3 linked regions of the Drosophila melanogaster genome follow. The protein of the gene in region 1 interacts with the protein of each later gene in a pairwise test. Each region holds a gene or a part of one and is shown in the gene's direction. Other genes may lie near its edges.

Region 1 (3,757 bases):
TTCTATGACTTACCTTTTAATTTTTCCTGATTGCGCGCGATTTTTTCACTCATAGTTCAACAGCTGTCACCAAATAAATTCTAATGCAATACCAAATTTGAACTTAAAAAAAAAAAGTTGTGGGCAGGAAAAATGCGGAATGCGTGTGTATGTGTTTGCTTATTTCTCTTTCGGTTTATTTTTTTTTTTAACAATTTTGCACGCAATACAAATTTAGCACGCCGCGGCTACTTCACTTTGAGAACAGAGAACGAGAAAAAAAAGAACAGTAGATAGGGAATTGTTTTTTCAGAAGATCTCTAGGAACCGGGTTGAAAAAACATTTGCCCCAATATACTTTATTGTGCGTGGATGTGTGGGTTTTTTACCGCTAAGCGTGTCGCCTGAATTTTACACTGGAACGGTAAATGGAAGGTAGAAACACCCTGACTTCTCGACAACTGAAACACAACTGAACGTTTTGCTTGCTGGTGATTAACTGAGTGACGGCTTCTATTTCGGTTTTCGACTTCGGTTAATCACACGACGGACGACGAGCTCCAACATACGAGTCGTAGGCGGCTCTGATTGGCCAGAACACGGCCGCGTCTGGCAGGCCACGCTTGGCGGGCGACGTCTGGCACCAGTGATGCTTATTATCGATTCGATAACACTTACCGATGTAGGGATGCTAATAATTGACTAGTAACGGGGGAATATTTTGTCGAGTATGGAATTAAAATCCGCGTAAAACTGTTGAAAGTCAAATATGTTCTCTGAAATCCTGCACTCGATAACCGGTATTCAATATTCGATTGAATGCAATTTAAAGACGGACATCACTGATATAGGAGTTCTAAACGATACAAGCAGCTGACTTTTCGGGTGCATTCGATTTAGCTTATCGCAAATATCAATTTATTTTATCGCACGCACTCGATTTATTTTATCATCTATGTATACATTTTTTTTTTTTAATTTTATATAAAAGAATTACTATTGCTGGCTAGCGGTGTTTCGATAAAAAAAACATATTTTTTGTATTGCAAGTAATTAAAACTATTTACAATAATAATGTTAAAGAAATCCAAGCCATACATTGTACATTCGATTAAATTTTGTATGATGCAACATAGTTTCAAAAGAAATCGACATGTAACTGACGAGAATATAAAAGCTGAGACGGATAATGAAACATATCTTTAATGTTATAAATTACAACCAGTTTGTTTCCAAATTTTTTTTCATTGACATACTTATTGCGTCAAGTAATAAACTAATTTAAAATAAGCATATGTAAAATAATAATGATACAATTAGTTTTTTTTATAAATGAAAACATTTATAATTATATGTTTGTCAAAAAATGCATTATAAAATGATATAAACGTTTGAAAATATACAGTACCCAAAATAATATTTGTATTCTTAATAATCTCGTTAGTTATCCGTAACTTGTGGTATTCATATATATCGCTATAAACATACGACTTTAGCTATATGAATGTATTTGAATGAGATGTGCAATAAGAAAATCGTTACCTTTTTTTAAACAGCTTATTGTGAATTCAATTATGATTATCATAATTCATTATGGAGACCAGACATTGTTTATTAAACTTATTGCTTTTAAATGTTAGAACAAATTTTAATTGCCAGAGAAAACTTACTTATAACAACTTATAATAAGTGTATAAATTACGAAAATCTTAAAAATAATGCACTCAATACATTCATCGATTGCAACCCCGTCCTCGTTGTTATCGATTGGTGTGCTGCCAGCATTATACATCGCCTATGGAGCGTGGTGTTTTCGACCTACTTTCACAACGGTCACACGCTTTCTATTTGATTTTTTTTTCAACATAATTTTTGTTAAACAATTTGCCGTGAATTTTGTTGTGTGTGTGGATGTGGACGTGCTGACAGCCAAAAAAATTAAAATAAAAAAAAAAGAAAAGTGTTCGCAAGTCGAGAGCAGAATCGAACGGCAAAAAATGCTGGCGAACAACAAATCATCAAGGTAAAACTGCGCGCCTTGGTCATTAAGTCTTTCATCGAGGATAAAAGACCGATGTCTTTTAACGTTATTGCTGTAAGCAAAAGCAGAAATCACAATCTACTCATAAATCCTCGATTTGGTGCAAATTAAAGGAAATTCATCGGTTTTTGGCGGCCAGTTGCAAACACAAAATACTAAATACGCTAGATGGAGCACGCATACACGCAAGCTCGTTGGCGAACGTAAATTACATACATCATATAGATAGTCGTCCCGCTTGCACTGCCCGTCACAGCGAGGGCTGCGAGAGCGAGAGCGGGAGAGAGAAAGGCCTGAGTCGCTTTTTCTTCTTGTACTTTATATATTTTTTATTGTTTTTTTGTGTTGTGTTGCGTTGTACGTGTGTGTGAGAGTGCCAAATGTCAACGGAAATTACAACACTGCGAGACGGAGAAGTCTAAAAGGCAGAAGAAGAAGAAGCAGCAGCAGGCAGCATAAACAAAACTCGGGGGAAAACCACAAAAAATAACAGAGGGAGAAGCAGGAAGATGTTGCCCGCCAATAACAGGAGTAGCACCAGCACCCATACCAACACAAATGCCAACACAATCAACGCCACTACCAATACCACCAACAGATGCCTCATCAATACGGCCATCGAAAAAACGGTAGTCCGTTTGCGAGAGACGGCAGCGAATAGCGGTACTTTCCAGGACTCAGATGAGTCGTCCGTGGAATTTGATATTATTAACTATTATGGGGACGACGGCGGCACAACTCCAGCACCAGCTCCAGCCACAGCCTCCGTTACTCGCCACGGCGGCAGCAGCAGCGGCAATAACAACAATAACAGTGCATGCCATCCAGCACTGGATGCCAGCAGTGATGTTGTTGTTGTTGAACCGGCAGCGGTAGGAGTCGCACAGGAGGAAGAGGAAGAGCCGGAGCAAAGGCCAGAGAGGATCAGCATACCCATTCCCGACCTGGCGTTCACCGAGATGGAAGCATATGCCGAGGATATAGTCGTCGATATGGAGGGGGGATCACCAGCCAAGCCTTTAAATCCAAAGAAACAACGTTTAAACTCAGCAACAACCACAACAATAAATCGCTCGAGGGGCGGCGGAGCGGCACAGAGTCGATTACGCCGGTCGGCGGCCATCGTTCCACCGCGATCGATTCCAGAGAGCTGTGCCAGCAGCAGCAATTCCAATTCGAGCAGCAGTTCCAACAGTAATTCCAGTTCCAGCTCCGCTACAGGAAGTAGCGCATCCACCGGCAATCCGTCGCCGTGCTCCTCCCTGGGCGTCAATATGCGCGTAACTGGACAATGCTGCCAGGGAGGCCGGAAATACATGGAGGATCAGTTCTCGGTGGCCTACCAGGAATCACCGATCACCCACGAACTGGAATACGCATTTTTTGGCATCTACGACGGACACGGCGGTCCCGAGGCCGCGCTCTTCGCCAAGGAGCACCTTATGCTCGAGATCGTCAAGCAGAAGCAGTTCTGGTCTGATCAGGATGAGGATGTCCTGCGGGCAATACGCGAGGGATACATCGCCACACATTTCGCCATGTGGCGGGAACAAGGTGAGCAAGAAATAGCTGGGAAACTAAGCCATCTTACAGTTGAGACAACCCAAAGAAAGCAGTTAGTTGGCATAAAGATTTTAAATCATACGAAAAAAAGAGAATATAATATACTTGTATTTGTATTTGTTTTTGTGCCTTCTCTCATGCAATTTCATATCAAAATTGTTGCCAATGCCAAGC
Region 2 (3,757 bases), about 15 Mb from region 1:
AGGCTACAACGACGCCCTGACCGATCGAGTGACAAAGTACGACTAATATTGGATCTCAGGAACTTCGGTACTGCCGGCAGCTATTCGACCAACCAGTTGGGTCCTCTCTCCCTCTCTCTCTCGCTCTCGCTGTGTGTCTCTGTCTCTTCCTCTCACCTCACCCACTCATGCACACGCTGCTCACACGGACAGGTGAGCAGTGGAACGAGCCAATTCCAATATCAATTCCAGCTCCAAACGCCGCTTTGCACAGTGGAACATCATGGCCAAAATGGTAGCTTTTTAGCACAAATATTTTTTGTTTTTTCTACAAGATTTGTCCCAATGTTATTCCCGTATAATGATATCCAAAACGTATATGAATTGTGTTGTGTCACTTTTGTCAAAGTATAATATAAAATGATATACAATAAGCTTACTTTAAAATGTTTTTGGCCCAAAGACGCTACAATTACGGTTTAATATAAAATAAACAAATAAAGGTTATTTTAAATTATCAAGCAAGAATGACGTGGCATTGGGTTCAATGGGAATATTTTTTGAAATAGGTTTTTGTTAGCAAAAGGTGAAAAGAAGTTTAGACGCTTTTCAATCTGTTAATTGTTTGGAAAGGGGAGAAACGGTTGTTTTGATATTGTCGCAAGTGCCAAGCAATGCGACCCACTGTGCCGCAAACCTGCTTAACTCACAACACACGCGATGCGGCGGCTGCTGCTGCTGCTGGTTGTGGTGCCGCTGGTGGCGATGGTGCTTCTAGTCCTCCTGCCTCACTCCACACACAGGTAAAGAATGGAGGCAACGGCTCCAAGTTGCTCAGCCGCATTCCACGAGCTCCAAACTGAAAGGTTGTTGTCGGTTACTACTGCGGTTGCCTATGCGCTTGGGACGGCGAAATTCGCCATTGGGTGTTGCAAGCCGCTTTCAATTCAAGTTCAAATTCGCGCTTTAGTAACAAAATTCACTTATAGTTAGATTAACTCAGTTTTGGCGCTTTTCGTATCCAAATTCACTTCGGTTGGATTCAAAAATAAGAATTGACCGCCAACGCTGCCAGACTGCGTCGAACTGGTCGACAGTGTTGAAAAGTTCGTAAACTGGCGGCAAGAAATCGATATAACTAGTTGAAAGTGTCAATAGTAGTGGAGCTGGAGTCCAGAAAAATATTTCGAATTTAAAATAGATTTAATAAATTGGAATTATTCGATATAACATTGATATTAACCAGGGGGAGCCCTTTTTTATGCTAAGGGTAGTATGAGATATTTCATTTTATACAAGTTGCAGGATTATAAATACGTTTTAAGACATTACGATAGGTAATTGCCAGCTGTTAGTTTGATCATATTTAATGCTGCAGGACTCCTCGAACTTTAATTATGTTAAGTAGCTATGTATGTTATGTATTTGTTTGGCCAAAAATGTTTCAAAAACTCGAGGCTTTTACATAATTAGTTTTAAATATTCCGTACTAATTATCAGTTGTTATAACGTATATTTTTTTTAGGTTTTTTGAATATTTTGAACGTGAAGTCAACGTGTTCAATTAAACACTGCAGAATTTTTTAAATCGCGTGTTTTCAGATTAACACGTTAAATGTATGTTCGTGAATATATCGTATCGATATTCGTGCTCGTGGTTTTGCCATCCCATCTCCAATTTGATGAACATATTTTTCGACGACTGCGATTGCAACGCACTGCCAAAGAGAAAGAGACATGACTGATCCTAGCAAGCTCGCCGTCGCCGTAGTCTGTTCCTCGAACATGAATCGCTCAATGGAGGCGCACAACTTTCTGGCCAAGAAGGGTTTCAATGTGCGCTCCTACGGCACCGGCGAGCGCGTCAAGCTACCGGGCATGGCGTTCGACAAGCCGAATGTTTACGAGTTTGGCACCAAATACGAGGACATCTACCGCGACCTGGAGTCCAAGGACAAGGAGTTGTGAGTTATTCGTTTTTCCGGCCTACCGTTGGCTAATCCCTGCCCTTTCGTCCTGTTTACAGCTACACACAGAACGGCCTGCTACACATGCTCGACCGCAATCGTCGCATAAAGAAGTGCCCGGAACGGTTTCAGGACACCAAAGAGCAGTTCGACATCATCGTCACTGTGGAAGAGCGCGTCTACGACCTGGTGGTGATGCACATGGAGTCCATGGAATCCGTGGACAACCGACCCGTGCACGTTCTCAACGTGGATGTGGTGGACAACGCTGAAGATGCGCTAATGGGCGCCTTTGTCATCACAGACATGATAAACATGGTATGATCATCTGTCGTCCATTCCCTCAATTCGCCCAACGATTCTTGTGCCTTTGCAGATGGCCAAGTCCACGGACCTGGACAACGACATCGACGAATTGATCCAGGAGTTCGAGGAGCGCCGCAAGCGGGTCATCCTGCACTCGGTGCTCTTCTACTGACGACCGACGTCTGCTAACAGTTCGTGTCCAGCTCCAGCACCAACACCAGACTCCCGTAGCCCCGACGCGCTCCAGCCGAGTCACTCGATCTTGTACCCCAGGGGCTGCGATCGCAGAGCATAGGACGTCGGGCATTGCGCGCAGCGCGTGCGGATCCTGGGTTCCGGATTGGTAGCCTAGCATATAAGAATACTGTAAATAGAGAGGGGCCATCGCTGCAGCGAAAGCACATCCAACAACGACCAGCACCCACACACTCGCATACTCCAAACACCTGATTCGTAATCCACATCAACACCACACATGCAAGCAACTGGCTAATGAATTGGAATATAACACACAACCAATGACGACCATTTCCACACGGCTGCCCCCCAAAACCCCTGTAGTAGTATGTGTACGTGTCCGTATTCCTTGTAATTTCGCCCGTCGACTGGGGGTCTTATCACAGGCTCTCGCTTCCCTCAGCTGGCGAAGGCGCCGACCATCTGACTCCGACCCGTTCTCCCGTTCGGCCGCTCTGCCGCTCTCTTCGCCCGGCTTTGAGTCCGATTCGGACTCAGATTCGGATTCGATTCACATAAAGTGAAATCTCGCATCGTGATTGTGTGAATGAGCATGCACGCCAGAGAGCCACACAGGGGCGGAACGGTCTGGGCCCTCGCGGGCAGGGGCCGCGTTTTTTAATTTTACACAGTTTTACCAATTGTTCAGACAGGGCAAACCCGACCGACCTTGGTTGGGGCTGTGCGTTTTAAACCAAAGGCAAAGGCCCGCAACGGGCGCTAGCTTGCAATAGAAAATAAACAACAGGGGAGTTGTGTTCACTAAGGATTGGAATAAAAGTGCACGCCAATTTATGCCGGTTTCTTGTTGACGGCCTGTGTCACATTTACCCTGCGACCTCAAACCTGCCTAGGTCTTCTCTTCGACGGAAATACCATTGATTACGTCTCATCCCACTGCTACCTCGGAGTTCACCTTGATCGGACGCTGAGTTGGAAAGCCCTTATCACGGCTCCTGGAAACTGAAAAAGCTGGACTGGGTTTTCCACTCAAGCAAACTCCATATGGCAACTAAGGCTCTCTTAATAAAAGCCATATCCAAGTGTGGGGAACAGAGTATTAGAGTAAGACAATCGGGAGCGGCACGACATGCATCTGGGCTACATGTGGTATGTGAGCAATAGAGTTATTGAAGGGGACTTAAAAGGTGTCCCATTGGGGTACCAAATAAACTTCCATAGCAGCCGATATGCCGACAGACTTAGCGCCCACTTAAACACGTTAGCGAATGATCTTGTCGACCCTATTTCCCTCCGATGTCTGAAGA
Region 3 (3,757 bases), 4.0 Mb from region 1:
GACTCGCGAACAAACAAAACAGAAAAAAAAAATAGGGAGAAAATAAAAAATGATGGCAAAAGTACACCCACGTGTACATATGTGCGCTCAACTTTGAGTATTTTCATTTTCAAATCGGTTTTTTACTTGCTTTGCGTTTTTTATTCGCTGACGCTGAAAAAGGCCGAACTAAAAAAGATACAATTTTCATGTTGGCAGTTGTAGTTTTTATTCGTATGTAATGAAATTTACGCGTTAGTTACTTACATATACTCCAAAAGATAAGACCTATAATTGTTAAAGTCTTATTTCAATTTTGGTTTTTCACAATTGAAATTGAAGTGAAAAAAAAAACAAACTTCCTATTGAAAGTTTAAATTAACTATTTGTAAATTGTGTAAGTAAATTACAGTTTTTGTCTAACTAAAACTTTTTCATTTGCGCGCAGTTTTTGCCTCCGTGAATTTTACTCCAAAAACATTTTACATTTCCCCGCAACATTTTTCATGAAAATTAGGTTTTTGTTTTATTTCATTTCGGGCTCTCTGTACAATTTTTTTTTCGAGATTTCCCGTTCGTTGTGTCCGAGTCCCAATTTGTGCGCTAAGCTTTTCCCCTCGAAGGGTAATTGCCTCATGTTTCATCTACACATCAATTAGCCGCAACAATTTAATTTGCCCGCCTGGAAATGGGAAAAGTGCGGTAGCTGGATAAAAAAAAAATAATAAGCACACAGCAATTTCAACAAGAAAAATCCATAAAATATTTGTGCAACATTTTCTCGCCGCCCAAACCTGCGGGCCGTTAGTGCGAGTGAGATGGCCAAACAACTGTCGTCAGCTATTTCAAATTGTCATAAAAATTTGATAAGGTTTTTTCCGCTGCTCCCCCAAACCACCCAACTCTGCGAATTTTTATTCCTGCGTCAGCTACAAGGCAAAAATATAACAGAAAAAAATGTTTGGGCACAAAAAGTGTTGGTTGCTCGAAAATATCATTTACAGTTAGACTGCCATGGTAGAGAATTTATAAATAAGCTAATTAATAATTATAAGCTAGTTGAAAATTAAAACTAACAAAACCGCTTTGCAAAACTAAATCATAATTATAATAGCTATATCTATTGAAATCATTTATTAAAGACCTCTTTTGAGCAATTCTTAGCCCACGAATAGCAAACTAGACTTTAAACCCAAATCCACCTTAAGTTTCGATTCTTTTCGCCTCACTTTGCGTAAATGATAATTGAACAATGGGGGCCGCCCATTGGGGCGAAAGAGAGGGGGCGTGCCAAGTGTGAGTGGCTGGCTCTCCCCATCCCTGTCGCGCTTTCGCCGCTGGTGTTGTGTGTGCATGGCAATTTGCGACGCAGAAGTAGAAGAGGAGGAAGCTAAAGAAGAAGCAGTAGCAGCAGTAGCAGCAGCAGTAGCAAAAGTAGCGGTACTGACCAGCGTCCTTTAAACGCCCGTCGCCACCTACCCCCGTTTCCTTATCTTTCGCTGTTAGCTAACAAATTTTTGCGTTGTTTTCGCTGTCTTGTCGTTTTCATTAAAATTTCATTGCTGCCGCGCAAAAATACGAAGGTACGTTGTTGCTTTTTTTTCCTCCTTTTATGACTATGTATTTTTTGCTCCTCGTTTTTTGCTCTTGTGGCAACAACAAAGTTGTTGAACTGAATTTTTTTGGGGTGTGGTCCCACACTCAAACGCACACCAGCAACGTACACACACGCTCATACACGCGCGCACACACACGCGCAGCAGCAACAACACAGCGGTAAATACAGCTGCTCAGCAAACGGTACCACCAGCAGTTGTCTCGCTCCCACTCAGTCAGGTTGTAAGCGGCGTGCGAGAGAGATGCCGCAAGAGAGTGAGAGAGAGAGAGAGAGCGAAATACTGAACGACTGGAACGGAGCGAAACTACGGCTATCTCACTCTGGCGCGCGGTAGAGAGCCGGGCAGCCATTGCTAAAAGCAGGCACTCACTCGCTCTCCCTCTCGTTTCCACCACCGCTGGTGTTTGTTTGTTGTTTTTTTCCTGCTTCTTCTTCCAACATTTTTTCTTGTTGTTTTTCTTTTTTCGCAGACTCTGGTCGAACGACTTTTGCTCTGCCCGCTGCTCGCTGCGCTGCTGCCGCCGCTGCCATCGTCCGTGGAAGGTGTACCGCAATTCATTTCCAGAGTAACTTTCGTGCCGCTCGGGTTGTTTTTGTGCGTCGTCCGTCGCCCAGTTGCTCAGTTGCTCATTCGCCCCGTTCGCCGCTCGTTCGATCGCTCTCGCCACTCGCCGCGTTCGCCGATAAGCAAGCAAGCACCAGCGCAAGCCAATAACAACAATCAATTCGCCGTCGCCAAACCGAATCAAATCAAATCGAAGCAAACTAAACCAATCAAACACAAATAAACAAATATCAACACGAGAAGCTATAGCTAACACAGCTATAGAGAAACAAAGAGCCCCAGAGGAGAATACTAAGTAATACAGAGAGATATATCCTTTTGGATATAACGCAGTGCCAAGTGACGAGAATCTGTTTTTTTACCGTGTTGCCAGTGCTAAACCATAAACATCGCCCAAAAAACATACATCTCTGGAATACAATATTTATATATATATAAATATACATATATATCTTTATATATATGCATGTGTAAAATATACTCATGCCATAACCATATAGTAGTTGGATCCGAAAACAAGTCACCATTGGAATACAGCACCGTTTTGCTTCTAGTTTTGTTTGTGTTTTTTTTTCGGTGAGTGCGATCCGCCGATATCGAGAAATCGGTAGCAATCTATATATCCAGCAAGGAATGTGGAGCCGAGAGATAAGCACGGATTACATGGGGAATCTGTAGACCTAAGTAGTTTTTGGGGGAGCGGGAATCTATCTTAGGGATTACTCTTATCAACTTGTTTATTTAGCAGAGATATTAGGTCACAAGTCTTACATTATCTATGACATATTTGAAATACACTCTTTAAACTTGGAATAATATTGAAAGATCTAACACGCTGTAAAGCTTAATTATTTTCTTTTTCGTTATCGCTTCAACTTTATTCTTGAGCCAATCTTCATTCTTCATTATAAAGCTCAGACTTTAGAGATATGTTATAATATGTTTGGTTCACTATTTTCGATTAGCCGAACTTGACAGATCTTTTGTTTTTCACTTACACTTCTACATATATTTACAAGGTTAAAATGTTCTTCCAAATGCTATAATCAACCGATATTATTTTGCCACATATACTAGTCTTTATTTAGCTTCAGATTCAATGGATCTTAGAAGTCTTTAATTGGAATACTATTCATTGATTTCGGGGACTCCCAAGTCCAACAATAGAGTTACCTATTCCATGCCCGAAACTTTGTTTCAGTTCCTTCAGCTCTTCGTGATATGATGGAGCCTTTTTTTTAAAAATCTGGTTTCGGTCAGGAAATTTCCGCCTATGACTAATGTGCTGATCGTAATGTGAGAAAATGCGCGTTTCGGAGATTCGTTATGATTTTCATAATTTTAATGGGCATATTAAGGCCGCCTCCCCTAATTAGGCAAAACAAAAAGAAGCCAGCAAGAGCCGACCAAATCGATACGAGAAATGTGATATAGAAAAAAGGCTAACAAAATGATAGGGCCAACGGCGAAGAAACCCCAAGAAAATCAATACTAGATACAATAGAAGACAGCCGACGGACCCGTTCGGGTCACATTATTCACACATATTCCCAACATCCCCACATCACCACATTCCCACTTCCCGATGTTAGCGA

Evidence for each region.
Region 2: the proteins of Pp2C1 (region 1) and Ssu72 interact in a two-hybrid assay, tested with the Drosophila melanogaster proteins (one large-scale study listed by BioGRID).
Region 3: the proteins of Pp2C1 (region 1) and oc interact in a two-hybrid assay, tested with the Drosophila melanogaster proteins (one large-scale study listed by BioGRID).

The regions. Positions count from the first base shown.
Region 1 is NC_004354.4:4,684,929-4,688,685, reverse strand, and holds the start of Pp2C1 (protein phosphatase 2C), read left to right. Parts: upstream 1-1,782; 5' UTR 1,783-2,529; coding exon 2,530-3,574; intron 3,575-3,757.
Region 2 is NC_004354.4:19,662,930-19,666,686, forward strand, and holds the start of Ssu72 (Ssu72 CTD phosphatase), read left to right. Parts: upstream 1-1,631; 5' UTR 1,632-1,716; coding exon 1,717-1,943; intron 1,944-2,005; coding exon 2,006-2,264; intron 2,265-2,322; coding exon 2,323-2,424; 3' UTR 2,425-3,757.
Region 3 is NC_004354.4:8,649,075-8,652,831, reverse strand, and holds the start of oc (ocelliless), read left to right. Parts: upstream 1-2,150; 5' UTR 2,151-2,457; exon of another isoform or gene 2,458-2,738; intron 2,739-3,757. UniProt on the Drosophila melanogaster protein: Transcriptional regulator involved in pattern formation and cell determination in the embryonic CNS and larval imaginal disks.